4 linked regions of the Caenorhabditis elegans genome follow. The protein of the gene in region 3 purifies or fractionates together with the protein of the main gene of each other region. This does not show direct contact. Each region holds a gene or a part of one and is shown on either strand. Other genes may lie near its edges.

Region 1 (9,414 bases), on a different chromosome or scaffold from region 3:
GTATTTTTTAGGGTTCCCACTATTGCTCACGAGCTGGTACATATATCATGCAATGGAGAGTCCCTGAAACTGCAGCCGGCCACTCATCAACCTTTGACTTTGGTTCTCACAAATGTCGTCTCATCTACTATTACGAGATTTTAAACTCTGAAAATTTCCGGTAAATTCTTTACACATTTATTACAGTTGATATTATGGAGACTCGAAATTTTGCGATTTTTGCGCTTAGAATACGGTAGCCGGTCTCGACACGACAATTTTGTTAAATACAAACGGGCGCGCCTTTAAATAGTACTGTATCTTGAAACTTTCGTTTCGGCGGAATTTAAGCAAAGAAAGTTTGAAATTACAGTACTCTTTCAAAGCGCACATTCTTTTTTATTTAGCAAAACACTTTCGCGTCGAGACCGGGCACCATATTCTAGGCACACAAATTCGCAAAATTTTTGCGTCTACATAAAACGTAAACTATCCATTACAGTAGCCTTATTAATGCAATTTGTTTTCAGAGGATCCGTTGCCTCCCTCGAATCTTGCCGTTCATCATCGTTCAGTTCAATTGCTCCACCAACGCCACCAACTCCAGGAACTCCCCGCAATCCATAAACATCATTTGTAAAATTCAAAATTTTATCCGACCCTACTCGTATTCTTGTGATTCGTTTTCCTTTCTTCTGTACTACTTCCCATTCTGTCTCTTCTTTTCTTCTGCTTTCAAACATGCAAACACCAAATTCCTTATTATTTCCTTTTTCTTCGTCTACAGTCCCAAACACGGTTTTTCTCATTGTCTCCATTTCTATCATATTCCTTCATTTTACTACTTTTTTGATGTAATTTATTATTAATTTCGAACTTTTCCTCTCTTAGTTCACTCTTCATCCATCAAATGCCGAGCAATTGAGTATAAAGAAGTTTTGTACAAGCCAAAACGAGTGAGGCAAAGGCAAAAGAACAATGATTTTCACACCCCAACACAAACATAATCTACACTCCAATATTATATATTGGACAAATAGCGCCCACTCCAAGAATGGAAATTGAGCTGGTATTATTTGTTAGTCGCTTTCGGTAGAATACCTCTACCACTTTTTGAATTCGCGCGCACCTTTTAAGTGGTTAATTTCTCTCTAATGCCACCTCCACCATTAATATCGCTTGATGTTGAAGGTGTATATTTTAAGACAAGGATAGCTACTTTGAAATCTATAGAAGGAACTTATTTTACTAAATTATTCGAAACTAATTGGAGGGAGCAGCTTGATAGAGTAAGTCTAAAAAAAAAGTTGTAACTTACAAAGTTTAAAGCATTTGGTAAATTGCCAAACTTCTTAGAATTTTAGAGCATTGCTGCAGGTCCCTAACCTCCTAGAATGTCCAAACACAAATGATTATTGCCATGTTGTTGAATTTTGTGATTACTGGCGCAAAAATACGGTGCCGGGTCTCGACACGAAACTTTGCAGCTACCGTACTCACAGGAACTTCGCAATTTGCTACGATTATTCATGATTTTTAATACAAAATCTTCAAATTTTGTTCCGGAAAACGCCTACTATCAAACAAAAAAAATCGTGGAAAATTGTGAAACACTTTCGGTTACTGTAGCTGTAAAGTTTCGATAGTTTTGAGACCAGGTACGGTATCCAAGCCTCAAAAATCGCAAAAATTCAAGAATGGGTAATAAGCATATACTGTCAATAAAAATATCATAATGCTAAATTTTGCGCTAACAGTACGGTACTTTGTCTCGGAGCGGCAATTTTTTTTAATTGAAAAGGGTGTGCGTCTTCAAAAAGTACTGTAATTTTATTACATTACTCTTTAAAGGCGCACATTCGTTTCGTATTGTCGAGACCTTTACGCTTGTCGAGACCAGGTACCGTATTTTTAGAATTAAAAACCGCATAAACTGCTCTGAACACATCAGTTATAAAATATATTAACACTCCATTAAATAGAATAAAACCTCATTTGGTCAACTAACCTTCCCCAAGATTCCCAATGCCTTGTGTTAAATACTCTGCGTATATGTCTACGTCATCAAACATCTGCAGGCCCATTGAATCATTCAAATAATTTTCCACCACCACCCGTTGCCATACTTTTCACCCGACACCACAACCACTAACACCATTCCCTTGACCTCCTCCTGGTGTGACGTAGCGCACTGTTCAAAAGCAATGACCAACTGGTTGTTGGGTGCCTGTGACGTCAATTTGTGACGTAGGCAAGAATGGGGGTTACGGTAGATTGGGAAAATTTGAATGCTTATTTCAGGATGGTAGACTCTTCATCGACCGTGATTCTTCAGTATTTCCGGTTATTCTCAACTTTCTAAGAGATCATGAGAAATGTTCATTGCCAAAAGACGAATATCAGCTTATGCGAATCTTACGTGAAGCGGTGTAAGTTCGGAACAAATCAGAATATTGCAAAAAGTATAAATCATTATAGATTTTTCAAAATTGGACCACTTCGAAACATGATAGAACATAAGCTGCGAACATTTTGTACTTGCCCACCTGAACTTCCATCAACTCCAATACCGAACCAAATCTTGACCCAAAAAGAAAATGTTCCGATTGTCCCACGTAATCTTCTTCTTTCGAAACCACCTCCACCTCCACCACCACCACTTCCGTCATTGATGCAGCCGAAGGATACTGTACAAATTCCGATGAGAAAACCTCCAACTGGCAGAAATTCCAAAAAAATTAAAACGTCTGCAGATTCGATTAGTCTTCCAAGGAACTTTACGTGAGATTTGGATATCTTTTATCTATTAATTACTTACAAAAGTTTATTTTCAGACATATTGCACATGTTGGTTGGAATGGTGCATCGGTACTTTTTGATAAGAAAATGACTGATGATCCGACTGTGAGGAAAATCTGTGATGCTGCTGCAGAGGCAGTTGATCTTAGTGTGAGTAACTTTCTTGAAAATTAGTAGAATATCTATAGAATTATAAAATTAAAATTCATTTATCTATTTTCAGGCGGTATACAATGTTGTCAACAAAAATGCGGATGAGGAGAGCCATAGCGTGGAAGTGCTCATAACTGGAGGATTAATGCAGTCAAGAGATGGAACATCTCGTCACTAACCATTTGAATATATCTGTGTCAAAATAAATTATTTATGTCATGTCTTGCATGCCAACAGATACGCGTTTTTCGAATTTTCGAAAATTCGCAATCACAGCTGGTGGTTTTTTATTGTCTGAATTGACCGACAGCAAATTTTAGTGATCTCTGACAAAACATCAGAAAATAAAAAACTACGCTTTTTTGTCCGCAGTTTGAAAATTTAAGGAAAAACTGAATATAAATATTATTTCATCGAAACATGTTTTTTTCTTTAAAAAATTACCGTACTCTTTCAAAGGCGCACGCATAAAGTTTTTAAATACAATATTTCGTGTCGAGACCATTACAGTAACCCGCGGCAAAATTGTGTTTTACAGCTTTTATTTTCGGGGTTTCTTCTGATCTTATGCATTTTTATGTGGTTTTATTTTGAATTTTACGTTTTTTTTTAAATTTCAGAGCAATGAAATGCGATTATCGGACTTGTCCTAAAGGGCGGAGCCATGGTTAGAGGCGGTGCTTGTGGTGCCGAAGGGTATAAATAGATTTTTTCCTCACACAGAAAACTAAACACATTTTTTGTTTAAATGAAATTCTTCAGCTGTGAATTAATATTTCATTTCAAACTGCCGTAGTTAGAAATGCTCAGGACCGTGGATTTTCGGTTTGAATTTCTAGGCCAATTTTGTGTGTTTCGACATTAGCTCACTTCTATCAGAAAACCATATTGAAGCCAGAATTCGTAGGAAAATATAATGTATTCTGTTTCACTGTAATACTTGTTTTTTCTATGAGACCAAGATTTCAATAATTCGTTTTCCTTTTGAATTTGAATTCCGATGGAGCGCGTTTGTTTGGTCTGCGTCTCGTTTTCGCGCGTTCCTCTATTACCTAGGCGCGAAAACTAGTAAATTTGAGATGAACTGGTCATTTGAAAATTCTCTCCGCTCCTCCATTTTCACTCTTTTCTTCTCAAATTGTTAATAATTCATCTTTTCCAGTTATGCAACGTTACAACAGCACTTATGTTGTCAAGCGGGATGGGCGAAAGGAAGATGTACACTTCGACAAGATCACTTCCAGAATTCAGAAGCTGAGCTATGGATTGAACATGGATTTTGTCGATCCGGTTTGTTATTAAACACAAGTTCAATGATGAATTAAATTTTCCAGGTCGCTGTTGCAATCAAAGTTATCAGTGGCTTGTACAAAGGAGTGACAACTGTTGAGTTGGATAATCTTGCTGCAGAGACTGCTGCTTCCATGACCACACAACATCCGGAATATGCTCTTCTTGCCGCTCGAATCGCCGTTTCGAACTTGCACAAGAAAACGAATAAGGTGTTCTCGGAAGTTATGAAAACCCTTCACGAGTTCCATCATCCTCATACCGGAAAACACGCACCAATGATCAGTGATGAGACTTGGGCTATCATTGAGAAGAATGCTGATGTTAGTTTTCCTAGGAATTGCATTTATTCAAAAAAATTTCATTTCAGAAGCTGAATTCCGCCATCGTCTACGATCGTGACTATTCCTACACCTATTTCGGATTCAAAACACTGGAGCGTTCCTACCTTCTCAAGATAAACAAGGAGATTGTCGAGCGCCCACAGCAGATGTTGATGCGTGTTTCTATTGGAATCCATGGAGATGATATTACTTCCGCAATCGAGACCTATAATCTGATGTCGGAGCGTTACATGACCCATGCGTCCCCAACTCTCTTCAATTCGGGAACATGCCGTCCTCAGATGTCTTCATGCTTCCTTCTGACAATGAGTGAAGACTCCATTCTCGGAATCTACGATACATTGAAGCAGTGTGCTCTTATTTCAAAAAGTGCCGGAGGAATCGGACTCAATGTTCACAAAATTCGCGCCACTGGATCTGTGATCGCTGGAACTAATGGAACATCTAACGGACTCATACCAATGCTTCGTGTCTACAATAATACTGCTCGTTATGTTGATCAAGGAGGAAACAAACGCCCAGGAGCATTTGCTATTTACCTGGAGCCATGGCACGCCGATATCTTCGAGTTTGTATCTCTCCGCAAGAACACTGGACCGGAAGAGGAACGTGCCAGAGACCTGTTCCTTGCTCTTTGGATTCCAGATCTCTTTATGAAGCGAGTCGAGAAGGATCAAGAATGGTCGTTGATGTGCCCATGTGAATGTCCAGGACTTGATGATTGCTGGGGAGAGGAGTTCGAAGCTCTTTACGCCAAGTAAGTATCTCCTGGTTCTTATTTTTTTAATTACCGAAGTGCGATATCCAGACAGAACTTTAAGAGTACTGCTTGGACTGAGTTTACTAACTTCGAATATGAAATAGTTGATCGATAACCGGAATATACTCAAAAAAAAAGGTGTGCTCCGGACAAAAATCAACTAACAAAAACTTTTAAACAGTGAAGTTAAATTTGCAAAGTTCATATCAAAATTTCCAGATACGAAGCCGAGGGACGAGTCCGCAAAACGGTGAAGGCCCGCAAGCTCTGGGAGCACATCGTTTCCAACCAAATCGAGACCGGGCTTCCATACATCACCTACAAAGATGCCGCCAATCGCAAGTCTAACCAGCAAAATCTTGGAACTATCAAGTGTTCCAACTTGTGCACTGAAATCATAGAGTACTCTGCTCCAGATGAGATTGCAGTTTGCAACCTTGCTTCCATTGCTCTCAATCGCTACGTGACCCCCGAGAAAAAGTTCGACTTCGTCAAACTGGCTGAGGTGACTAAAGTTATAACCAGAAATTTGAATAAGATTATTGACGTCAACTACTATCCAGTCGAGGAGGCTCGCAACTCTAATATGCGCCATCGCCCAATCGGGCTTGGTGTCCAAGGACTCGCTGATTGCTTCATGTTGATGCGTTACCCATTCACTTCGGCAGAAGCCAGAGATCTCAACAAACGAATCTTCGAAACCATCTACTACGCTGCATTGGAAGCCAGTTGTGAATTGGCTGAGTTGAATGGACCATACTCGACATACGAAGGATCTCCAGTATCGAAAGGACAGCTTCAATTTGATATGTGGGGAGTCACTCCAACCGATCAATGCGATTGGGCCACTCTTCGCAAGAAAATTGCAAAGTAAGATTAAAATACTCTTTCGAATCTGATTAAACTACTTATTTACAGGCATGGTATCCGCAACAGTCTTCTGATGGCTCCAATGCCAACTGCTTCCACTGCTCAAATTCTCGGAAACAATGAATCCATCGAGCCATACACTTCGAACATCTACTCTCGCCGTGTTCTTTCTGGAGATTTCCAGATTGTGAATCCTCACATGCTCAAGGATTTGGTGGAAAGAGGATTGTGGACTGATGAGATGAAGAATCGTCTGATTGCCAACAATGGATCCATTCAAAACATTGATGGAATTCCATCCGACATCAAGGAACTTTATCGCACAGTGTGGGAGATCTCTCAAAAAGACATTATTGAGATGGCTGCTGATCGTGGAGCATACATTGATCAATCCCAATCTCTTAACATTCACATGGCCAAGCCAAGCTACGCCGGTATCACATCAATGCATTTCTACGGATGGAAGAAGGGACTCAAGACTGGAATGTACTATTTGCGTACCAAGCCAGCTGTCAATGCAGTTCAATTCACTGTGGATAAGAATGCGCTGAAAACTAACCAACAAGCTGAGACGCCAGCCACCGTGGCCGAGTCGCAAGATGAAGGATGCCTCATGTGCTCCGGATAATCATTTTTTCTTTCACCCGTTGATCATGTTTGTACATTCCCAAATTGCTCACTTTTTCACTTTAATCTGTTATACTGATAACCCTATTTTGCTCGCGGTTACTCATTTTTTCTAAAGTTTTAATGGTCAATAAACTGACAATCTGAGTCCTCGAGCGATTTGAATTGCAGGAGCTGAAAAATGTGGAACCGTGTTAGGTTTACATCCGAAACTTCGGAAGTTTTCCTCTTCTCATGCTCTAGTAGTTTTTTTCCTAAATACTCTCTCAGCAACATCATGGTGCAACAAAAGTGGGTCTCGACTGAAGGTGTACGTGGGTAATGTTTAGTGAACCGTCAATCGAGCAGATTTCAAATGCGCCCTTTCGATTCTCTTTTCGTGTGCTCAATGAGCCGGAATAGAAACATTGAACTATGCGTAGAGCTCCTCTCGTCAGATGGGCCCCCGGTTCTTAGCGAGATTAGCTTGATTCTTGGTTTTTTTGCTCATTGCTCTTTTTTTCAAATAAACTACTACTCGTTTCCTCCCTGTCTCGTCATTGGAAGCTGTTCATCGTCTCTTTTGTCTTTTTTTGGGTTCTTTTTCCGTTTTTGCTCATTTCGACTTCAAAACGATTGATGACTTTGTTTCGGTTTGGCTTTTTTGGCTCAGAAGAGCACTCAGAGAAGCTATGAGACACACGAAATGATGAAGATGATGATGCTTCTGTCGGAACTTTTGTGATTCTTTTTTTTTTGGAACTTTTGAGACGGATTTCTTCCTTTTCTCGTTTTTTTTGTTCGAAAAAAGAAATGTTTGGTTTCCTAGACTGCATGCGATGAAATATGATTTGTGTGACAAAAAAGCAGAAGGTTAAGATGATTGGATTAAGGATTGAAAAGCAACACTATAGAATCAAAATATATGAAGTTCTTTGGTTTTTCGTTTTTTGAGAGAAAAAACTATTATTTACATTCATGAAATGTTTCTTGATCCTCGAGGAGCAGTTATTATAGGTTTTTTGTTGGATTTCATTTTAAATAAAACTAGATTTGGAAACTTATTTTCAGAAAACTGAAAACAAATGTAAGAGTCAGTTCTGAATACTTTCCTAATATTGTAATTTCGTAAAAAGTTAAACGTCTCAATAAAGGCGCAAACTGCTTTTCTCAGTGGGTCTCGCCACGATCGCCGTCGAAATGGTCGTTACAAGGACCAAATTTAACAGAATTGTCTATAATTGTTTATTTGATTTGGAAATAGAAATTTGTAAAACTTCAAATCCTAAACTGTGAAAACATTTGCAATAAACTATTTCTTACCTAGTTATACGTTTTAGCAAAAGCTTGACAAATAGTTTGCCGCCATAGTACTGTAGTTCTCCTATTTTTGTAGGTTTTAAAGGATTTTAAACGCGCATTACTTTTTTGTTTTAAAATAAGATGATCGTAAAAATAAAAATATTCTTCTTCGAGCAGGAACTAAAATTATGTTCTGTAAGGTATGTCTGAAACCACAATGTTTTGCGCTGTGACGTCACACACTTTCTTAAAGTACAGTTACAGCTCCCTCTTTTTCAACACTTTGAGTATATTATTATCGTTATTGTTTCAGGTCTAAGATCTTAGGTCTACGTTAGGTCTATTTTAAGTATATAGTCTATTCATATGGTTATAAAAAATTAGTAAGTAACGTAAAGAAGTATCATTATTCAACTATTTTTTCAGTTAATCACACCACCTTCCCATTCTATATTGCCATTCTTGCAAAAATTCTTGTGACGTTCAACTTTCAAGGAAAAAATATTGAACCACGTTAGAATACCTGATAGCTCAACTCGTCATCCTTTAAAATATATGACTTGCAAAGTTTGCTAAGCTTCCGGGAAAGCCAAAAAGTCCTTATTTGAACTTCAAACTTTTTATCTTTGCTCCGTCATTTCCAAAGTTTGATCATTTTGTCATTTGAAAACGATTTCATTTTGCAATCCTCCTTCCTTTTAGCTTCCGTCCAGAGACTACTTTATGGCCTTTGTTAAATTTGTAAGAAAACACAACAAAAAAAACGAGAAGTATTCTGTTTCGAATTTGCGTGTCTCTTTCCTAAGTGACGTGTAAACGGCAACTTTCAGGTCAAATTTTTGAGATCAGTTTCAATTTTTGTGTTGTTTATTTCAACATTTCAACACGTGACTGAAGGCCTTCTTTAACGACAAGGGAGATTTCTGTATCGAAGTTTATAAAGATTTTGGAAAAAGAACATACACTACCAGAATAACAATGGAAAGCTTGAAGCTCGAATCTTGAAACGGCTGAGACGGTAAAAATCTTGTTTTTTGTTTACAGTGTTTCACAAGATTTTTGCCAAAATTAAGCAGTTTTGGGAAAAAGTACCTTTTCAATATCGATTTACCATTCCATCTCAATCCTAGATTTAAAAAATGCATATCAAAAATGTAATGGGAAAACATGCCATAACCGAATACATTGTAATTTTTTTGAGAGCTGATAACACATCTTGTAACTTTTTACTCGGATTTGTGAAAAATTCGCTTTCTAAAATTAGCTTGACACATTTCAAGCTTCATGCTTGAAAATCTGATCTTGCAATAC
Region 2 (7,548 bases), on a different chromosome or scaffold from region 3:
TATTAGACGTATCTTTGCCTATTTTTTTCATTCGTGGTAGTAAATAACTAGATCTAAGTTTGCTAATGGACGTATCTATACTCATTTCCTGAAACTATCCCATAGTGAAAATACATCACCTAAACTTGGTGCGGAATATTTGTTGTCTGGGTATTGCAAAACATAATTGCTTCCTCTATTGTTGTGCACCCAACTGCTCCTATTTCTTTTATGGCACCTGCGATCTCAATTTTTCAAACTTTCTCACATTTCCACGTAGAATTTGAGTTATTACATATAGTTGTTACTTATATATAGAATGTTATCATTACTGATTGACCATAAATTGAAAATTTTGCTTGGCTTGAATAATCCCTATTATAGCCAATTAGTAAAAAAGTAACAAATCTTCAGAAAAATGTCTCGAGAACGGTCGGATGTTCAAAAATCCACGTCTACGCGAAGCATCGATAATGTTGGAAGAATGACGCCAAAGGTTAACGCCAAATTTGTAAATGTGAAGAGCAAAGTGGGAAGTGTCACCAATCATAAGGCGGGCGGCGGAAATGTGGAAATTTTCTCGGAGAAAAGAGTGAGTGAACATTAAAAAATTTTTCTGCGATTTGAGCCAATCAGATGACGTTTATGAAGGTCGCTGTTTAGCTCAAAAAAGAGCTGAACAAATCGGTCTTGTAGATCTCATTTTTGGAGAACACCAAATAAGGATGTTCGCCAGAAGTTGCATTATCAAAACCTAGATATTTTTTACACATTCAGTTATTTCAGCTCTACAACGCCCAATCCAAAGTTGGCTCCTTGAAAAACGCAACACACGTTGCCGGAGGCGGAAACGTTCAAATCGAAAACAGGAAGCTAGATTTTTCGGCAGCTTCACCAAAGGTTGGCTCGAAAACCAATTATCAGCCAGCAAAGTCTGACGTGAAGATAGTTTCGGAGAAGTTGACTTGGCAAGCTAAATCAAAAGTTGGGTCAATGGACAACGCAGCGCATAAGCCTGCTGGTGGAAATGTTCAGGTATTTTGAAGATTAAGAATTTGAAACACGAGTGAACTTGAATTTGACGTGGTGGCTTTTCATATTGCAGCTATTGATTTTCAGATATTAAGTCAAAAATTGAACTGGAAAGCCGAGAGTAAGGTTGGGTCAAAGGACAATATGAATCATCGGCCTGGTGGTGGAAATGTTCAAGTTCGTAATAAACTAGGCTACACACACAATATCACGCTTTTCTTCAGATTTTCGACGAAAAAATCCGCTACGTGTCGACGGACTCGAGCCGGAATCATTCTACGCTGGACATCAGCTCGTTATGATCGGACCACGCTTTCACTTGAATTTTACCACACCTCACTGATCTTCAGAGGTTTTGTATTTTTTCAGCAAACTGATGACCTCTTTTTGTAATAAATTTGATTATTTGAATAATTCATCTTCTCAGCACAGTTTATCATCCATCACTGGATCACAATTTGCCCCACGAAATTTCAGGTAATTTCCAGCGAAGTGGCAGTAAGTCGACCAAAAATGATGACGGCCACAATAATTGATAAGAAGAAGGATTTTGCAAAACGACAAAGTGTCTCACAGAGATCTTCAAGCAATTCTCTACTGCCCAACAAATTTCCAGGCGCCATTTATCCTCTTTCTCCTGATTTTATATTCAATCGCTGATGTATACCGCGCTTAATAATATGCTTTCAAATATTTGTGCAACTATTGAATTAATTTTTGAATATATTAACTGTTCCCAGCCGTAGTTTCTATTTGACTTCCCTGAGCATGTTGAATCGAAGAATTTTATCCCAAGGTTTCAGCTTTTTTATCTATATTTTCATTTTTTGCTTTACAATCTGTCTTTTGATATTCTCTTCAATAAAGTGGTAATTAAAAGTGTATCGTGGGTTCTACTTGAAAATGGTAATTTTTCAGTAAGAAACTTCAGGAAAAGTTAGAACAGCTAAGTCTTTCAAAAGAGAGCTTAATCTTCAATGAGCAAGATGCTCGACACTCGAGACGACTCCTCTCAAATTTGGAGCAGCTGATTTTTGTGGGTGGTGTGCCGAGAAGTGGGACTACTTTGATGAGAGCTATTCTAGATGCACATCCGGATGTTCGATGGTAAATTTAGAAAATTTCAAAAATGCGATGTATGCTGCGCTTGGCCAAAAGATCTTGAATTTCTTCTCCTTTAAAACTTTTAAACTCCGTCGAAACAAGGCTTTCTGAAGTCAAGACTTTTTCTTGACAATATGATACTTCTTATTCAGAAAAAACAAAACGTATTACTTCTGCTCACTTCAAACTTTCAGTGGCGGTGAAACCATGCTGCTTCCAAGTTTCCTTACATGGCAAGCAGGCTGGCGGAATGATTGGGTCAATAATTCAGGAATTACTCAGGAAGTATTTGACGACGCTGTTTCAGCATTCATCACTGAGGTAGTGCTCTTGTCACCGTGTTCATCTTTAATTGCAATTCATACAGATAGTCGCGAAGCACAGTGAACTAGCACCTCGTCTGTGCAACAAGGATCCATACACCGCATTGTGGCTTCCGACTATTCGCCGACTGTACCCGAATGCAAAGTTTATTCTGATGATTCGAGATGCTCGTGCCGTAGTTCATTCAATGATAGAAAGAAAAGTACCAGTTGCTGGGTATAATACGTCTGATGAAATTGTAAGGTCTCCCTAATGAAACTCTTGAATTTCTAAAGATAATTTGAAACATTTAGTCAATGTTTGTTCAGTGGAATCAGGAGCTTCGAAAAATGACTTTTCAATGCAATAATGCGCCAGGGCAATGCATAAAAGTATATTATGAACGACTGATTCAAAAACCTGCGGAAGAAATCCTACGTATCACCAACTTCCTGGATCTGCCATTTTCCCAGCAAATGCTAAGACATCAAGATTTAATTGGAGACGAAGTTGATTTAAACGAGTATGTGCTTTCTTCATTAAAACTTTTGAACTTCAACTATCTCTTAATTTTGCAGTCAAGAATTCTCTGCATCACAAGTTAAAAACTCGATAAACACTAAAGCCTTAACCTCGTGGTTTGATTGTTTTAGTGAAGAAACTCTACGAAAACTTGATGACGTGGCACCTTTTTTGGGAATTCTTGGATACGATACGTCGATTTCAAAACCCGATTATTCCACATTTGCGGATGACGATTTTTACCAATTTAAAAATTTTTATTCTTAAAGTTTTGCACTGTAACCTATAACTTTTATAGAAAATAAGATGTCCAAAGTTACCTACATCATAGATTGTTATTATTTTATTTTTATCTATAGATACAACTGTTAACCTACATCATTATCATTATCTCCCATTGTTTTCAGATAGAGGTCAAGGTAACTTTCTAATTCTCCACACTCTCTGCAACACTATAAAAAAGAATGCGCGCACGCACAAATGTCCACTATTCCGCCGGACACGGCTGCTTCCTGCAGCTGTATCGATTTTTCTTTTGTCGTTTTTTTCTTTTCGAACAGGATTTTTGAATGCATTCTTCTATATTTTTTGAAAAATAAAACTTGCAATTAATATACTTACAATTAAATACATGCTGTTGGATTTCTAGAAAATTGCTTACATTGTTAGTTAAATTAAATACTATGCATTATATTTATAAATAAAATATTTATTTATTATAACTTAGTACTTAGTACTTAAGTACTTAAAGTACAAAGTAGGGGAAAAAAGATCAGGAACTAGAAATCTTATGATTAAATTTTGATAGGCTAAATTATTAGAATTTTGTTTAACTTCAAACGATTAATTTTGAAACTAAATTCTTACTTTGAGGTTTTTTTAAAAATCATATTTTATGTCAAATCCGACTTTTACCATATACTACTCTAATTATATTACTATGAAAATGAGCATCCAAAATCTCAACAAGTTTCCAGATGAGCCGTGCTCTTCTTTTCTTCGTTCTCGCCATTCTGGCTTTGTCAGCCGAGGCACGTGGACCACGTGTCACTGACAAGGTCTTCTTTGACATGGAGATCGGAGGAAGACCTGTTGGGAAAATCGTCATCGGACTTTTCGGAGAGGTCGTGCCGAAGACAGTGAAGAATTTCGTTGAGTTGGCACAGAGAGCTGAGGTATTTCAGTTTGTTAATTAAATTCTGTAGACTTTAATATTTTCAGGGAGAAGGATACGTTGGTAGCAAGTTCCACCGTGTCATCGAAAACTTCATGATTCAAGGTGGAGACTTCACACGTGGCGACGGAACCGGTGGACGATCGATCTACGGCGAGCGCTTTGAAGATGAGAACTTCAAGCTTCAACACTACGGACCAGGATGGTTGTCAATGGCCAACGCTGGAGAAGATACCAATGGATCTCAATTTTTCATCACTACCGCCAAAACCTCATGGCTCGATGGAAAGCATGTGGTGTTCGGTAAGATCCTGGAAGGAATGGACGTAGTTCGTGAGATCGAGGCTACACCAAAAGGAGCTGGAGATCGGCCAATTGAGGATGTTGTCATCGCCAACGCTGGACATATTCCAGTAGAGAACCCATTCACTGTCGCCAGAGCAGGAGTTAATTAAACCTAATGATCTACGGGTTTTCCAATTAATATGTGTATTTTTGTTGAATGTACTATAATTACTTTCTAAAATTCTAATAAACGTGTTTTGTTTCAGTACTTGATTATACAGCGCTGTCAGGATGTGCTACGTTTTGGAACTTGTAATAGTATTAATAATTGAGCAACCTGACTTGCCAATGTTCGAAATACCAAAAACACTATATCATAACTTTGTGGAGTATTGGTTTCAATTCTGAAGTTGAAATACACTTCTAAAAGCAATAATTTATTCTCGATCCGTTCGTCTAACTAGTAAAGTATAAAGATTTGTACATTTGAAGACTCATTAGAATGGGTTGGGGCACGTTCCGGTATTGACAAAGACCGACTTCAGGTGAGTATAATGTTCGAGTACTGCTGTTCCGTTTTCACGTCCGAATCCTGATTCTCCGACTCCTCCGAATGGAACCAGTGGCGCTGAAATTACAGGTTCTTTTCTAGATCTAGTGGGATTCGGAGCAACTTACAAACATCATTATAGGTATTGACATAGACGTTTCCAGCATTCAACTGCTCAGATACTCGATAGGATCTTGAGAGGTCTCTGGAATAATGAGATTTTCATTGAACATGCTTTAATAGGGTACTCTTACTTCGTGACTAGACCCGCAGCTAATCCCATATCGGTGTCATTTGCAATTTTAATAGCTTCATCTTCGGTATCAAATGGAATGATTAGAAGTACGGATCCAAAGATTTCCTCCCGATATACTGTCATTTTGGGTGTAATGCCTGTTAAAATACATGGAGACAAGTAGAATCCATTCTCGAGGCCATGAACGGCCACACGATCTCCACCACAAAGCTTGGTGGCTCCTTCGGCAATGGCAGCTAAATAATGGTGTACTATTGAGAATCTACTTAAATTTCTAAACTTACTACTTATATACCCTTCGACTTTGTTACGATGCTCTGCAGAAATATGGGATCCAACTTGAGTATCCTCTTTCAAAGGGTCACCAATTTTCATCTTCTGCGTGTGATCTACCAACTTCTTCGTAAACTCCTTCAGCACACTTTTATGAACCAAAACTTTTGAAGCATTAGAACAAACTTGTCCCTGACTGTAGAAGTTAGCCATCATTGCACAAGACACCGCCGAGTCGATATCGGCGTCGTCGAACACGATCAATGCGGATTTTCCACCAAGTTCCAGGGTTACTGGCTTGATATTTCGATCGGCGCAGGCTTTCATGATTTTCTTTCCAGTTGGGATGCTTCCAGTGAATGATACTTTTGATACCCCATCATGATGAATGAGATCTTGTGCAGTTTCAGCGTCACCTTGAATAACATTGAACACTCCATCCGGTAGTCCAGCACTTTTCAAAATTTCAGCCAATATCAGTGCAGTTACGGGTGACAGCGGGCTGGGCTTATATATGACAGCATTTCCACAGGCCAGTGCTGGTGCAGTTTTCCAGGAGCATGTTTGAATTGGATAGTTCCAGGCACCGATGGCGGCGACCACTCCAACAGGAAGACGGCGTGTATAGGCGTAACGAGAAGCATCGAGTGGAACGTGTTGACCGAGAAGGTCAGATGCTAGATTTTGGAGATCAGGATTTGTATGTCATTTGTTGCTGATAATTATGCCAAAACGGGAGATGAGCGGGAATTTGAATTGGGTTACGTCACATATATCTTACTGTAGGCAGCCATTTAGAAAGCGCATATCTAATCAGGGTATTCGAAAATGAATTTTCTATAATTTTTTGATATCAAAATGCTATAGAACACCTACAAAACAACTCAAAAAATCAAAAATTAGAGAACGCTTATTGTTTTTTGAAAATCTCTTATCATGACTGCAGTTGTCGTCATTTTCTAGAACCAAACATTATTATGCACTTACCAATTCCGGAATAAAAATAGAAAGTGTCAACACAAGAAAGCACGTCAGCTTTTGCTTCTGCAATTGGTTTTCCATTACTAATACACTCCCAGTAGGCAATATCGTTGCAATGAGTTTTCAGAAGATCTCCAGTCTTTTTCAGAATTTCGCTTCGTTCCATCCATGAAGATTTTGCCCATTGTTTTTGTGCTTTTTTGGCTTCTTTCACTGTCAAATCGACTTGATCTCTAGTTGCATAGTGCCACGTGGCCATGGGTTTTCCTGAAAAAAATGTTTTAAACATTTTCAGATGAAAAGTTATTAAAATTGAGAAATGGAAAGATTCGATGGTTTAAAAAACATTTTTTTTCCATCTGGCAGTTTTTTTTTTTTGGAAAAAAGTCGAGAACAACTTTTTCAACTCAAAAAAATTAAATAGTTTTTTTATTTTTTTTATTTTTTGTAGATTCATATAATTTAAATCCGGGGTGGGAGGTAAATGATTTTTTCGGAAAATCCGCAAATTGCCGGAATTGAAATTTCCGGCAAATCAGCAAATTGCCGGAATTGAAATTTCCGGCAAATTGGCAAATTACCGGAATTGAACATCTCCGGCAAAACGGCAAAACGACAAATTGCCGGAATTAAACATTTCCGGCAAATCGGCAAAACGACGAATTGCCGGAATTGAAAACTTCCGGCAAATCGGCAAATTGGCAAATTGATCGATTCGAAAATTTCCGGCAAATCCGCAAATTGGCGGAATTGAAAATTTCCGGCAAATTGGTAATTTGCCGATTTGACGAACGCCGCCTGATTTAAATACATTCCTTATTCAAAAATTTGCTTGAATTTTTTTCCTGAACAGAAGTTACAGTTGTATTCAGTTGAACTTGGAAAAAAAATTAATTTTAACTTACCACTCCTGGGTTCAATCACTTCAAATTTGCGATCTGACGGGAATTCCACATGGTTTCCAGCCACAAAGTGTGATGATAATTCGAGAAGCTTCGTTTCCGTCAGGCTGTTCAGATTGATAAGATTAGGGAAGATTCGCATTTTTAACTGCAACTCAATGGATGAAAAACTAAAAATGAATTGAAA
Region 3 (7,887 bases):
CTACGATAAATGGCACTGATAACAACTTTACGTGTAAATATAGGACGTAAAGTGTCTATTTAGAATGAAATCATCACTTATTTACTAGAATTTCTATTGGAAGAGACTCGAATATTAAATGTGGAGCACCGAAATCTGAGACTTTGCCTTTTTAGACCCAAAATGGTCCAAAACTACGGAATTTCATAATGAAACTTCTTGAAAACTTTTCAGAAAAAAGTCATGACGGTTCAAAAAATGGGTTAAAATCAGTTAAAATCGGAAATTTGGCCGACTTGTCAATGTCGCAGCGGCTGGAAACAATTTTTTTTTGAAATCACCGTCAAATTTTGAGTATTCAAATTGATTACTTTGCGTTTTAAACTTGATTAAGGTATTTAAAATTCGATGGACGGCGAGTTTTTGTTCAAAAAAAATTAAAAATCTCGCCGTCCATCGACTTTTAAATACCTTAATCAAGTTTAAAACGCAAGATAATCAACTGCTATACTCAAAATTTGACGGTGATTTCAAAAAAAATTGTTTCCAGCCGCTTGAAAAGTCAAATTTCCGATTTTAACTGATTTCGAGCCATTTTTTGAGCCGTCATAACTTTTTTCTGAAAAGTTTTCAACAAGTTTCATTATGAAATTCGGTGTTTTCAGACAATTTTGAATCCAATAAAGCAATAAAAAAAATTCTCTCTCCACCACCTTTAAGAGCTGATAATGTCGAACAAATACATTTGACTTGCTAATTTAATGAATTAAATAACTAAACACCTATATACAAAAGGGTTCGTGGGAAACTTCTATACAATTGCGTTGGCAAATGAGAAAAAAAACCGAAGTGAAACAATTTTGGGGGTTGACCGGCGAAGAAACGGGCGCCACTGTAACCAAAAAAACCCTCACAAACAGCAAGAAGGTGGAGAAGATACAATGGCGAAATGAGAAGTATGAGAGAAATTGGGAAAATGGAGAGAAGGTCGTAGAAACGTGGAGGGGGCACTTTGTTTACGCTATTCCTTGCCACCCGCCGCCGCAGTTTCAAATCTATGTCAGAACTCTGTGTTGATGATTGATTAGCCGGAAAGGATGAGAGAGATGTATCGGATGACACTTTTTCGCGCGGCGGCGGCGGCGTGGCTCGCAATATAGTCAGTTAGCTGTGCTGTGTGGCAGTCGCGTTGAAATGTGGAATAAATTGGGTGCAACTGCTGGCTCGGAGGCCATCTTTCGCTTGTTGGCTAGTGATAGAGCTTTGTTACTGAAAAGAGGCACTCCCTGTTCACGTGGTGTCTCATTACAGCATGATCTACAAAAAATGCGGCGGGAACATTTTTCCAGAAAATTGTGACGTCAGCACACTCTTAACCATGCGAAATCGTGTTTGCGTCTGAACTCCCGCATTTTTTTGAAGATCAAACCGAAATAAGGCATTCTGACCAAGGGTGTCAATTCCCGTTTCCCGTTTTTCCCGTTGTCCCGTTTTTGGGGTGTTTTCACGGGAACGGGAATTCCCCTTGTCCCGTTTTTAAAATTTTCACGGGAACGGGAATTCCCCTTGTCCCGTTTTTAAAACTTTCACGGGAACGGGACATTTTCCCTCATTTTTTGGCTTTTTAAATATCTGTTTAACATTGAAAAAATCGATAAAAATGTTTATAATGCAGTTTTTTTTATAATTTGCCTCGAATACACTAAAATTTACGCCAACTATGCACTCTTTTTTTTAAACCGCCCAGTTTGTCCCGTTTTTTGAGTGTTTTCAAAAAAACGGGAATTCCCGTTGTCCCGTTTTTGAAATTTTCACGGGAACGGGAATTCCCGTTTTCCCGTTTTTGTAATTTTTACGGGACATTGACACCCTTGATTCTGACCCAGGGAAATTTCTTTAAAACATGCCTATGGGGTCACAATGACCGAATATTATGATTAAAAAATTCAAAAAATGTTTCTAGATTTTATATGATTTTTTGAAAATTGGAAAAATCTCGGTTTTTGCCAAATTTGTTCGATGGAGCGCGCTTGCACGTTTTTAAATTTATCTATTTTATTTTGTCTTATTTTCCACCGATTTTCCATGTTTTCAGTAGATTTTTGCTTGAATTTCAAAGAAAAAGTCAAAATAAATGCAAATTTTCGATTAAAAACCAAGAAATGCACGATTGGAACCTGAATTAATCAATTTCACAGATTTATGCTTGTAAATTAGCTTTTTAATCAAAAATTTGCATTTATCTTGACTTTTTCATCAAATTTCAAATAAAAATACACTGAAAACATGGAGAATCAGTGAAAAATAAGAAAAATAACAATAAATAAAATAATGCAAGCGCGCTCCATCGAACAAATCCAATTGGCGGTAATTCAAATAGGAATTAGGGGAAAAACTGAGATTTTTCCAATTTTCAAAAAATCATATAAAATCTAGAAAATTTTTTTTGAATTTTTTATCATGATATTCGGTTATTGTGACCCAATCGGCATGTTTTAAAGCAAAAATTTAGTGGGTTTTCGATATTTTATTTCGAAAAATCCCGCTAAATTTGAATTTTTCGGGCAAGAAAAGTGAAATTTTCGCATGAAAAATAGCGGAAAATCGACTCAAAATTGAAACTATAGGAAAAAATTGCCGAAAATGTGCAAAAAGCACAAAACTATGTAAAATGTACGATTTTTCCAGTCTAAAACTGCAAAAAATGAGCGAAAAAATCGCGAGAAATCTGATTTTAAAGTAATTTTGAGCAATTTTCTGTCCTTAACATCTCGAAATTATCACATTTTGCCGATTTTTGTTCGGGAAAGACTGAAAATGATCCGTTTTCAACAGGGAAAATGAAAAAAGTCCCGTGAAGGTCGTCTTCGCTTTCGTTTCAACCTTGCAACTGTTTAACAATATCGACAAAAGGAAAGATTTGTCTTTTTAGGTTTTTACTTGGCATCTTTCACAAAAATAATGGGAGGAAATTGATTAGAAAAAGCGCCGTGGGACAAAAATCGGGCAATTATCGAAAAAAAACACGACGAAAACCTAACAAATGAGTAAAAAATCGATGAAAAACAGTTTTTTTTCAGTCAAGGAAGTTGAAAAAAACTTGAAAAGCGGATGAAAATTGGAAAAATTTGGGAAAAATTGCGAAAAAATCGCGAAAATCGTTGTTTTGAAAAAAAAAAAAGAGTGTGTGGTAAACAAGAGACGCAGAAAAAAATAGACAACGATACTCCAAAATAACGCCTACGCGTGTTGTTTATCGTAAATCTACAACCGTTTATTTCTATATTTTCTATTAAAAAATAAGAAAATCTGTGTAAACTGTGCGAATTCCGGATGTTAAAAGTTCTCAGTCTACGATCTGCGCTCCAGAGAGCTGCCTCGACAAGACAACTAGTCTATGAAGGATATAGAAACCCTCCCGAGGTGAGAGAAAACGCGAATTTGCTTTTAATTTTATTTGCATTTAATTTCAGGCAATACAATTGAAAACTGTCACAATTGCGGACAAGCCGTCTGCGGATCAGGTCCTGGTTCAATGGATAGCAGCTCCAATCAACCCGGCAGACTTGAATCAGATTCAAGGTAGGTTTTTATAGCTCCAAAATCTGAAAAAATAATTATTTGAAGTATATTTCAGGTGTGTACCCTGTGAAGCCAGCTTTACCGGCGGTTGGTGGAAATGAAGGATTTGGGAAAGTGATTAGTGTTGGATCCAATGTGAGCTCGATTAAAGTTGGAGACCATGTAATTCCCGACAGATCTGGCCTAGGAACATGGAGAGAGCTCGGGCTCCACCAGGAAAATGATCTTTTTCCGATTGATAATACTCTTTCCATGGAGTATGCTGCAACATTCCAGGTATGATCTATAAAGCTAGGGAGCAGTGGAATAATCAGAATTTGTTTTTTTTACAGGTGAATCCTCCCACAGCTTATCGTATGCTTAAAGACTTTATCGACCTGAAAAAAGGAGACACAGTGGCTCAAAACGGAGCCAATTCGGCTGTCGGGAAGCACGTTATTCAAATTTGCCGGATCCTTGGCATCAAAACTGTGAATGTTGTGAGAAGTCGCGATAATCTGGAAGAATTGGTGAAAGAGCTGAAAGATTTGGGCGCCGACGAAGTTATCACACAGGAAGAGTTGTATAGTCGAAAGAAGAAATTCCCAGGAGTCAAGTTAGCATTAAACTGCGTTGGAGGCAGAAGCTCCCTGTTTTTGGCGAGTCTCCTGGACCACGGAGGATGTATGGTGACCTACGGTGGAATGAGCAAGCAGCCTGTCGATTGTCCAACCGGGCCACTGATCTTCAAGGATATCTCGCTTCGCGGATTCTGGATGTCAAGATGGTACGATATTCAGAAATCCCCGGAAAAGCGGCATGAGATGTACCAGGAGCTTGCCGGTTGGATGAAGAGTGGAGAGATCAAGAAGCAGGAGATTGTGAAGAATCGATTGGAAGATCATGCAAAAGCTCTCGATACTGCGCTGAGCAAATTCGACAAGAAGCAATTCTTCGTTTTGGAATAACTCGCTCCGTAATCGGGTATCATTGCTACAATTTAATGTGATGTGAAGATTGATCATGCTTTTTTTCCAAATAAAAACAGTTTTTTGCCCGAATAGGTCCTCAATGGCGTGTTTCTGAAAATTGTGATGGCCGAGATGCAATTGCGCCATTTTTCAGATTATACTCAATTACAAAATTTATGAAATAAGAACGTGAACTGACAATAAACTGAACTGATGGATGAAAGTAAGGGATTTAATTTAAATTCGGGATGTGAAAATCTTTCAGAAAAAAGGGGAATAGTAGGAGAGGTAATTTGAAAGAAAAGTCAAAGTCATTATCAGCAGCACGGGGGGGTTCCAAGAATTAGATAGACGCTTTGCTGACCACCAATTTGATCATCTGAAAAAATATCGAACATTTTGAAATGAAAAATGAGGACTCAAATTCTTTTCAAGTTTCACTAGGGTTGTTAAAGGGGACGAAGGGGAACGTCCTCCTCAATTTTGAGAGCTTTTTCCGCCGTCCCTTTTGTAGTAAACTGGAGCCCCAACATGAAATTGGATTAATCTGATGAATGTTGCTTCGATTTGATAGTGGTGCTTCAGCTTTCTACAAAAGGGACGCCGGAAAAAGCTCAAAAATCGAGGGGGACGTCCCCCTTCGTCCCCCATGACAGCCCTAAGCTTCACTCTATTTTTCTGAAACATTTTGTAAAAAAAACAAGTCTTACAGGCATATAAGATGGCACCTGAGCTCTGATAGAGTCGATGATGCGATCCTTGATCTTTTTCTCGTCCTCGATAAGATCTGTTGTCATCGAGAAGGTATCGAGGAAGACTCCGTGATTATCGTAGTGAGCAGTATACGATTTGACTTTTGCCAGTTCCATCGCACGTGGCATGATCTCCTGTAAAAAAAATAAACTAGAATATCCTTACAGAATTTTATACTCACATCCTTGAACCATCCGGGGATCCCGGTCGCAATCCACCATGTCATTTTGCGGTGAATTTTTCGAGACGGATCTCCAATTGCGGATAGATCACAATCCGGGCCGGGGATCGAGCCGCAGCTGATTTGACGGACAATAGCTAGATTGGTGGGCGAGCGGAAAGCAGATCGATCACCGGAAGTGGTGAAATTTTTCGATGGCAGTCATTCTGAAAAAAAAACACATTAACATTGTCTTCGCGAATAAAAAAATTGAGAAATGAATACTGATTTTATTAGGATGTGCAGAATATTATAATTTCCCGCAAATCGAAAAGGTCGCGCCGCAAAAAAATTAAAAAAAAAAACAAAAAATTTGGAGCGTTGTAAATGGTAGATCAAACATAAAAATTTTGAAAGCGACCTGTTGAAAATTATGAGGATTTTAGTTCAAAAATTATCGTTTTATAAATTAAAAATACCTTAATAACGGTAAAAGTGACGGGCTTATTGGTGTGCCTCAAATCCTTCGCCAAAAATTGCTGTCCAGATTGAGAGAGCTCTACACCGGCCAGCCGCAGATTCAGAAGGCCCGTATCGACATTCTTTCGCTTTGGAAGGAACGGAATCTTCATAATTGGCTCATGTTCCAAGCGGAGTTCACCACTGGGAAGCACCTCTCGTACTCGTCCCTTTAATTCCAGCTCTCGTGACGCAGACGGAGAAGTCATCACCCCCTGCTCAGGCAAACGAAACCGAGTCTAGCCAGGAAAAAACCCAATCTGGCACCACGAACAACCCGTTCTGGATCAACCAGGCAAGATCGGGGTTTTCGCTAGCTATATTGGGTTTATTTCTGGCCAGATTAGTAGGTTTTGGCTAGATTGGGTGTGCGTCTGGCTAGATTTGGTGTGCGTCTGGCTAGATTAGGTGTGCGTCTGGCTAGATTAGGTGTGCGTCTGGCTAGATTAGGTGTGCGGCTGGCTAGATTAGGTGTGCGTCTGGCTAGATTAGGGGTGCGTCTGGCTAGATTGGGTGTGCGTCTCGCTAGATTAGGTGTGTATTTGGCCAGATTGGGAGGGCGTCTGGTCAGATTGGGTATGCGGCGAGCCAGATGGGTGGCAACGCTTTCAAAATATAATAAATATATGCCAAAATTTGATGGTTCGGTTCTCCGGGCCTTCAAAATGATACAAAAAACAAAGAAAACAATTTTTATTTTACACAAGGACTGGATTTATGCATTTGTGGCCCTAAAGAGGGTTGTTGGGTTCGGTAAAGTTTTGAGATTAAGCTTGCTCAACTACCAAAAAAGGTATTTAAGCGCGCTCTCCTCGGATACGTCTGGCCAATTGGATATCCTTTGGCATGATGGTGACTCGCTTAGCGTGGATGGCACACAAGTTGGTGTCCTCGAGGAGTCCGACAAGGTAAGCCTCGGCAGCCTCCTGAAGAGCCATAACAGCGGAAGATTGGAATCGAAGATCGGTCTTGAAATCCTGAGCAATCTCACGAACAAGGCGCTGGAATGGTGCTCTGCGGATGAGAAGATTCAAAGTCTGTAAACTGTTTTTTGTTGTTGAAAATTCACTGTTTTCACCTGTACAGCTGGGATTCGTTTCTTCTGGTGCCGCGTTTCTTCTGCTGCCAGCCTGAAGTTGTTTTTCCAGTTGGTTCATAATTGAACGAACTGTTGTGCGCTGGTGCGGAACCATCTGCTAATTTCTAAAATTAATATTCAGTTCGTGAATAGAAATGAAGAATGTACGAATTATAGTAAAATGTGCCGTATCATTGAAATACAGTGAGAGCAACAAAAAAAGTCTACGTACTTTGCAACGTGGCGTTCCACCTTTTTAAAAATTTATTGAAATGAATAGTTTTTCGGAAAAAGAGGAGCGACACGTTGTAAAACACGTCGCTTTTTACATCTCTAACTTTATTTCAACGATAACGATCACGGTAAATAAGAACATAATCAAACGTGAAATTTTCAATCAGGTTTTTATATGCTCAGTGAAATATGACGTGATCTTGAGAGCGAAATTGATTATTACAAGGCATATTAGAAATCTTGACAAAAGTTCAAAATCTTCGGAGCCGGGAAAAATCTGGGAAAAACCATTCGAAATCCTTAGATCTGAAGAGATCTATTAGAAATCTTGAAAGACGTGAAAGATAAATGTGAATATTTCGTGATGTTCGTGAAATTTAGGGAGATGTTTGTGAAATCTTGAAGAGATGCGCATAAGATTTCTAAAATGCCTTGTAATAATTACCCCTTTCTTTATTTCAATGATTAATCGATTTATGTTGGAAAAAATGACGGAAAAAATGACGGAAAACAGACATATGTACAAGAAACGCGCGCAGCACACAAAAGATATTTTTCGAATAATCTCGATTAACATTGGAGCGCATTTGCGTTCACACGATCTGGCCAGATTGCCTCGTGAGCTTGCCAGA
Region 4 (7,163 bases), 5.3 Mb from region 3:
TTCATAGTCGTTGAGATCTCGAAGCTCTCTGGCCTGCTTCATGAGCTTCCCATTGTCTTCGGTCACCGTTTTCAGCTTAGCAGTAAGATTCTCTTTCTTTATGTCAGCTTCCTCCAGACTTCTTTGCTCGGATCTCAACGTCATTCGAGATTCATTGAGTTGTTGGAGAATGTTGTGGACTTCATCCTTTTTGGCTTCGAGATCACAGCTCAATTCTTCAGCACGAAATTGTGCCTCCTCGGCGATACCTTTCAGTTTAGCGATGTCGCTTTTCAGATCGGAATTCCTAAAATATTTTCTCCATATTTTAAATTCAATGTACCATTTTACTTACGAAAGCTTCAAAGTTCTGTTCTCAGCCGATAACTTGGTCTTGTCATCTTCAAGGTCTCCTAACATTTGCTCCAAACCAAAGATTCTCGCTTTAGACTGCTTCAGCTCCCGCTCGCTTCGCATGAACTTCATGGTAGGGGAATCGACAGCCTCCGCTATAGGGCTTCGCCGAGCAGTTGAGGAAGCTGTGCGTAGTCGCCGGGCAGTAGCTGTTGGTGTTTGCAATGATGTCAAGCTGTAGTTGTTCCTTTTCGGAGTCCTGAAGCCACTGGATGCTTCCTGATCTTCGTCATCTCTCCGAAGACATGCCCACCAGTCGTCAGCGGTACTTTCCGAATACACGTTGTCGAAAAACAAAAACATATCAAGAAGCACAGCTGTGTCGACGCGATTCTCTGATGACGCTTGCTCCAATGCGCGAGTGAGCATTCCCGAGTGATCCTTTCTCATATACTCGAGAAACAGAGCGTAGAATTTGCAAATCTCCAGTGAATCTCCGCTCGCTGCAAGCTTCGGTTCCAATGAATCGGTCATGAAGCTGAGACTCGTTGTGGCGATTTTGCGGAAGATAACTTCATAGAATTTGTCAGCTGTGCCAAACTCCCGAGTGTCGCATGACCTGAAAAATAAAATATGAAATTGTTTATGAATGAGCTATTACTTACATCATACTGGCGATCATACTCCCGTGCCTCTCCCAAAGCTCGGCTAATGAGCTGATTGTCTCCGTCTTCGGTGTGAAATTGGAGCCAAAATAGTTCGTCAATTGTAGCATTGACTTCACAACTGATGTGCTCACGCTCATTCTGCAGAAGGAGTAATTATTCAAAGAAAATGCGAGTGGTTGAGCGAAAGAACGAGAGAGAACGCATACATAAACGAAGAATATTTAAAAGACGCACGCAGAATGTCTGCGTCTCTTACACCATGCTCGTACACTTTTCTCACGACACTTCTAAAAACAGCGGGAATTCAAATGACAATTTTTCCATGGACCTGCAGGTCAACATGCACAAGTCTACCAAAAAAATATTAAAAGGACGAATAATAAATAAAAATGAAGCTGTTAAAAAGTGGGATGACACACTGATTGAAATGAACATTAGAGGAATCTAACATGAAAAATAAAACCAAAAATGCGCGCGCGCGCGAAAATGGTTTCATTCTTTATTTATAAAACCATGTGAAAGATTATGTGCATGCGCCTTTTAAAAAAACCGTATACACATTGCTGAGTTTGAAATTATTTAATGAAAACAAAGAAAGAACATTCCTTTTTTAGGGGACAAAGTTAAGTGCGCCTTCCAATAAAATCTTTATTTTCACAACAAAAAATCTTACAGTAGCTTTCATTTCATATATGTTTAATACTTTTCGAGGAAACTTCTTGATTGTTCTCAAAAGAAAAGCTCTGTAATTGACACACTTTAAGTTTTCAGGCATGGAAAGTTGGTTTTGGTTCATATTTATTTAGCGAGAAGAATAAATAATTTCTTCTTAAAATCTCACCGCACCGTCTAAAAACTACTGCATTATTCTCAAAGTATGAAACCTTTTTCAAACTCTTGATTAGTCGTTTTTTTTTTAAATTTTCATTAGCTGATAATATCTGGCCATTTCGATTGGCTTCGCCCATATGGAGGTCGATTATGATTCATTTGCGATTCCTCTTAATAACCTTACACTTTGTTCTCAATATCAAACAATGAAGCAAACTGATACATATTTATGAAAGATTATCATGGATAAGAAAAGCAAACGGATATTTATTGGAAGCGTCCGAGAGTTATTCAATTGGCTTTCTGCACGTAGTAGCATCAATTTGAGTTACTTGGGTGAGGGTCATCATAACTTTTCTGCGATATTGGTTTGTATCATTGAAATAGAACGGGTTTCTCTCCAAGTATACAGTTTGAAGACCCTTTAACTTTGAAAGTTGCTCAATTTCGGAGAAGCTTTCCACTTTGTTGTCGTTTGCCTGCAATAATAAAAGATATAGAAGAAACGTAAAATGTCTCGGTTACCCAGAAATCATTAAGACTTTCTAGTCTTTCAACGCCACTGAACGTTTTGATTTCGTTATTTGCAACATCCAAAAGAAGTAAATTAGTCTGCAAAAAAGACCCATTTCTCAGTGTATTTTGAATTGCTTTTTACCAGAGGTTCGACGCCATGAATATCTTGTAGACCCTGATCACTGAGGTAAAGTTCCTTCAGATTATTCAGTTGCTCAACATTTTCAATTTTCACAATACGATTTCCCGGCAAGCTGAGAACACTGAGCTTCTGCAAGGTCTCCACTCCCTCCAACTGACGAATTTTATTTTTGCCGATAAATAATTCATCCAAATTTACAAGGTGACCAATGTTCTCGATTTTCTTGATTCTGAACACAATTTGTGATTTTGATGTTGAAACATTCCATATTTACCGATTATCTCCCAGTTCGAGCAGTTTGAGCTGCGTCAAAGCTTCTAAATTTTCGATTTTTTCAATTTTATTGCTGACAAGGTAAAGAGTCTCGAGCTTTGTCAATTTATCCAAGCCGTTGATTTGGCGTATTCTGAAAGTTATTATTGAAATAAAAGTTTCTTAAATTCTTCACCTGTTATAGCTCAGATCAAGAGAAACCAAATTTACGAGTGATTCGAGATGCGAAATTTCGGTCAACTGATTTTCGTACAAATCCAGGGATGTCAAAGTAACTAACGAAGAAATTGTGGGGCTAATTGAAACCAGAAGATTATTGCGCATTCTCAGTTCCTGAATATAATCATTGTATTTACACACGTATTTCTGAAGTATTCTTACCTCTATTTTCGGAAATCCAGTAAGATCTGGAATGTGATCAGCGCGAGTGTGAGTTAGATCGATTTCCTGAAACATGTTTACTTTCACCAATAAACCCAAGCGGAAAAAAAAACAAACCGGAGAATCGATATCGAATGTGCTCAAATCGAATTGATTTTTCAAAACAGGCTCTTTGGATTCTTCGTCATTTTCACGAGGAAGAACAACAACTTCAGCGGATTTGTCGTTGGACATTACTAGTAGTAATATTACTCTGAATTTGTAAGTTTCGCACAAGATTATCAGTCAGTTATAGATATTGTCAGGCGTATTTAACGCAATATTTAAGAAAGAGATCACAAGCATATCAAGACCTATATAATGTTTTTTGAAAAACTATGAAAAATACACGTAGAAAGAAACAAATGAAAAAAAGTTATTTTCGTTCGAATGGATCGATCCAGACATTTTGAGGACCAGCTTGTTGTTCTCGAGATGATCGAAGTAAGGCCCGTTCCTCTTTTTGTGCGTTTTTATAATAATCATGATGATATTTTGGATAAAGCGTTACAGCAGCTACAGCACAACATGTAACAAGTGCAGTAGCTACAACTGCCATGGATCCGAGTGTTGGCCGATTAACTTTGGCCCATTTGGGAAGACGATTCTTGACTGACAACCAAAACGGAACAGGGGCTCCTTCAGGAACGCGCATGTGTAGCTAAAATTGATTACAATATGACTTTCAGTATGTTTAATAGAATAAATTGATGGATTAATTAAAAAATGTAGTCTATAGAAACAAAAATATGTTTTCTTATTTTGGCTTCATCATTGAAGAGATTGCTCATTCTAGGACTTTTTTACCGTAGAAACAAATCTGTGAGATTCGTTAGCTGACCAGTGATCATGCTTATGAAATAAAACAAGTTAAAAAGTATTTTATAGACAATAATTGAATATTTCGAAAAAAAAACTGCAAAACTTTCACATTTTCATTATTTATCAAGAACAAATTATTTCCATTCAAGTTCCGCAATCCGGGGAAACTGAGTCTCTTTTCTCAACTCCGCTAAAGAGGGCGCGCAGCAGAACTTCGGAGCGTCGTTGCTGCTGTCGCTGAGTTTTCTTTTGAAAATTCCGTCTTATTTTCTAATCTTCAATCGATTTTAACTGTCGACTAATAATCTCTAAAAGTTGTGAAGATGAGTAATGGTATGTTTTTATTTATTTATTAAAACCTAGAATAGATTTTACAGAAGGTTCACGTGAAGAGTCTCGAGAGCCCGAAGCAAGAGAGGGAAAGTCTGACGAGATTTTTGAAGTTGAGAAGATTCTTGCTCATAAAGTTACAGATAATCTGCTAGTGCTTCAAGTAAGTCACGAAATTATTTCTTAACTTAATTGTCCACATTTTAGGTTCGTTGGTTGGGTTATGGCGCCGACGAGGATACCTGGGAACCCGAAGAAGATCTGCAAGAGTGTGCCAGCGAAGTTGTTGCAGAGTACTACAAAAAATTGAAAGTCACTGACAAAACAGAGCTTATTGAACTTCTTCAAAAGCAAATAAAAAAGAACAAATCGCAAAAATCAAAAAAGCGATCGAAGACGGTTAGTGACCATGAGTCTAACCATGACAGCGACGGTAGCTACGGTACTCCGAAGACATCGAAGAAAAGTAAAAAGTGAGCTAAATTCTTTATTAAACGACAATAGTTTGAATAGTGGTGTTGTTTTTTTTTTCAAAAATGTAAATACATCCACACGTAATTGTCGGGAATGATGCTAATGGAGAGAATTCCATTTTTTTAAATCGATTTTTGCAGATCTGCTAAAAACGAAACTCCTGTATCATCAAAAGTTCCAAAAGTCCCAACGAAAGCTGCACTCAAGTCATACGAAGCAACGGTTTCTGGTCCAGTAGCTCCAAACAATGCGAAGAAAGCTGCAATGGAAGTTCGTGATACCCGAAGAAATTGGCTTGATGAAGAATCTTCCGATGACGAGGCAGAAACTACGGCGCCACTCAGTGATGTTGAGAAAATAGCGAGCAAAGTAAAAGTAGTGAAGGCAGTTGAGGAAAAAGCAGAAGAACCTGTCAAGCGACCATCTACACCACCAAAGCCAAGAGAGGTCGTTATAAAGAAAGACCCAAGCGAAAGTCCAGTTGCCAGCGCATCTTCAGTTATCCCAACGTCTAAGGTGGGTTCGAGTGCATAAAAATAATATGTATATATATGATGTATTTTCAGAGAAAGTCTATAAATGCGGAAACATCAAATGGCCGTCAAAGAACTCTTGCTCCCCCAGTCATTGTGAAAGATGGTAAATTATTTTTTAAAATCCTCGTAAATTGTTCTTTATTACATTTCAGAAACAACCTGGACTGTTGATGGTATTGCTCGTCACACTGATGTCGACAACACTAAAACGAAGCTGATACTGATGACCAACTCCGCCACTGGTGAACGAAAAGTCGTCGAAGGAAGAGGTAAAATAGGTTATTCTCAAAGTTTCGAATCTTTCATTTTCAGAGGCATTCGAACTTGATGGTTGGGCTCTCGCCAAGTATCTCCTCGATCGTTGTGAATTTTGAATTTCGAGTTTTGTTAATTTCGTTAAGCTTTCGATTTTTTATTTTTTGTCTCATTTCATACTACAGTTCAAAGCATATCTATCTCTCTCCCTGTTTCTATCATTCATTCTCCTTCCATACGATTTAAACGACTCCTTTATTTATTTCGTTACTATCAACTCTGTTTCATCGAATTCATCTTTTTTCTTCTAACATTCCATAACTTTTCTGTTGAAGAATCTCTTTTCAAAATGTTGATTCATCTAATGAATATATCTTTTTGAAAGTTCAATTTTCTTTTTAATGTTTTATCGGTTTATCTCCGAGTCGTTTGATATCTGAAAATGTCTTTAATTCTACCTTATAATATACCATTTTAGCTATGCAAAAAATATGAGTGATCGACACATGTCTAGTATTTTTCCCGAATGCGATCATCTCAAGCAGGTTAGTTTTCTAATTTCTTCTCGATTTCCAATAAAATCCGATTTTAGATCTACGACAAATGCTTCACAGAATTCTTCCAAAAGTTCATCACTCCCAATTACAGGCATCAGTATGCTGTAAATCCATGCGAGAGATTACATGATGTTTACAAGCGATGCGTTGAAGAGGTAAATTACACGGTTTTTAAAAGTTTTAAAAGTAATATTTTATTATTTTTTAGAGATTAGCTACACAACGACCGTTCGAAATAGATTTGGACGAAATTCGCAAAGAATATTTGAATACAGACGATGATAAGTTGAAGGATCGACAAAATAATCAAAAAACGAATTCCGAAAACAAGTGTTCTTCCTCTTGAATCTCGTTATCCCTTGATCTTCCTCACTTCACAACTCTCCTGTACGTATCCGCTAGCTTTGTAATTTATTGATTGTCCTGTTACTAGGTTATTCTCTTTTTCATTTGTTGATTTCCGGTTAGCATGACATTGAAAACGCAATATAAATCAAACATTTTTTATTTTTTTTTACCGCTTGAAAACTTTGGGTTTATTCCACTGACTATTTATGTGATTTTGTGCGAATATGAGTACGTAAAAACAATTTTTATCAGATGGATCCGAGTAGTCCGATGTTTCAACACATGGTTCAGCAACAGCAGCAAAGCCAACAAAGGATGATGGAATTGCACGAAAGAAACGATAGAGAGGTGAGAATGAAGGGTATCACAGAAAAATTAAAAAGAAAGTTTTTCTTGAAAAACCAAAAAACAAAAAATTCGAAAACGATTCAAAGTTGGTATTTTTAACGGAATTCGATGTTTTTGTTACGGTTCTCACCCTATTTCATACAAAAATAAATATTTTGAGTTTTTTTGAGCAAAGGAACCAAAAAACTTTTTCAATTTTTGGATTTTTTTTTGATTTTTGAGTAAAACCGAAAAACCGAGGATCAGAGCTGAATCCAAATTTTTTTTCTCCAAAAACACGTTGAAGTTTGAAACATTTTGTTGAAAAATT

What was found.
Region 1: the proteins of mecr-1 (region 3) and rnr-1 fractionate together in Caenorhabditis elegans (co-fractionation; one large-scale study listed by BioGRID). This does not show direct contact.
Region 2: the proteins of mecr-1 (region 3) and cyn-6 fractionate together in Caenorhabditis elegans (co-fractionation; one large-scale study listed by BioGRID). This does not show direct contact.
Region 4: the proteins of mecr-1 (region 3) and mdmh-35 fractionate together in Caenorhabditis elegans (co-fractionation; one large-scale study listed by BioGRID). This does not show direct contact.

The regions. Positions count from the first base shown.
Region 1 is NC_003281.10:9,222,930-9,232,343, reverse strand, and holds rnr-1 (Ribonucleoside-diphosphate reductase large subunit), read left to right. Parts: upstream 1-4,093; 5' UTR 4,094-4,095; coding exon 4,096-4,221; intron 4,222-4,265; coding exon 4,266-4,544; intron 4,545-4,591; coding exon 4,592-5,322; intron 5,323-5,369; exon of another isoform or gene 5,370-5,494; intron 5,495-5,544; coding exon 5,545-6,195; intron 6,196-6,243; coding exon 6,244-6,823; 3' UTR 6,824-6,969; downstream 6,970-9,414. Other genes in the region: CRAL-TRIO domain-containing protein T23G5.2, read left to right, coding at 12-160, 510-606; T23G5.3 (uncharacterized protein), read left to right, coding at 1,134-1,268, 2,281-2,408, 2,458-2,760, 2,814-2,928, 3,002-3,109. UniProt on the Caenorhabditis elegans protein: Provides the precursors necessary for DNA synthesis. Catalyzes the biosynthesis of deoxyribonucleotides from the corresponding ribonucleotides.
Region 2 is NC_003281.10:769,497-777,044, forward strand, and holds cyn-6 (Peptidyl-prolyl cis-trans isomerase 6), read left to right. Parts: upstream 1-3,917; coding exon 3,918-4,115; intron 4,116-4,161; coding exon 4,162-4,569; 3' UTR 4,570-4,663; downstream 4,664-7,548. Other genes in the region: ptl-1 (Microtubule-associated protein), read left to right, coding at 394-571, 766-1,014, 1,489-1,671; tpst-2 (Putative protein-tyrosine sulfotransferase), read left to right, coding at 2,081-2,118, 2,310-2,436, 2,483-2,677, 2,733-2,941, 2,997-3,207; alh-11 (Aldehyde dehydrogenase domain-containing protein), read right to left, coding at 4,897-5,027, 5,078-5,154, 5,204-5,441, 5,490-6,155, 6,466-6,726, 7,365-7,509. UniProt on the Caenorhabditis elegans protein: PPIases accelerate the folding of proteins. It catalyzes the cis-trans isomerization of proline imidic peptide bonds in oligopeptides.
Region 3 is NC_003280.10:13,182,699-13,190,585, reverse strand, and holds mecr-1 (Enoyl-[acyl-carrier-protein] reductase, mitochondrial), read left to right. Parts: upstream 1-3,271; 5' UTR 3,272-3,312; coding exon 3,313-3,402; intron 3,403-3,452; coding exon 3,453-3,561; intron 3,562-3,616; coding exon 3,617-3,837; intron 3,838-3,893; coding exon 3,894-4,508; 3' UTR 4,509-4,599; downstream 4,600-7,887. Other genes in the region: W09H1.4 (DUF1902 domain-containing protein), read right to left, coding at 4,855-4,890, 5,222-5,398, 5,446-5,490; W09H1.3 (Transthyretin-like family protein), read right to left, coding at 5,583-5,651, 5,904-6,152; his-73 (Histone H2A/H2B/H3 domain-containing protein), read right to left, coding at 6,741-6,881.
Region 4 is NC_003280.10:7,854,635-7,861,797, reverse strand, and holds mdmh-35 (MitochonDrial interMembrane space protein Homolog), read left to right. Parts: upstream 1-6,078; 5' UTR 6,079-6,091; coding exon 6,092-6,145; intron 6,146-6,192; coding exon 6,193-6,312; intron 6,313-6,365; coding exon 6,366-6,503; 3' UTR 6,504-6,663; downstream 6,664-7,163. Other genes in the region: Spindle apparatus protein lin-5, read right to left, coding at 1-286, 335-952, 999-1,138; sds-22 (Protein phosphatase 1 regulatory subunit SDS22 homolog), read right to left, coding at 2,120-2,311, 2,358-2,444, 2,491-2,719, 2,765-2,896, 2,939-3,096, 3,145-3,210, 3,262-3,378; T09A5.15 (Small integral membrane protein 26), read right to left, coding at 3,560-3,838; Chromo domain-containing protein cec-3, read left to right, coding at 4,329-4,338, 4,383-4,498, 4,543-4,808, 4,950-5,325, 5,376-5,448, 5,498-5,614, 5,658-5,719; mdt-10 (Mediator of RNA polymerase II transcription subunit 10), read left to right, coding at 6,758-6,853.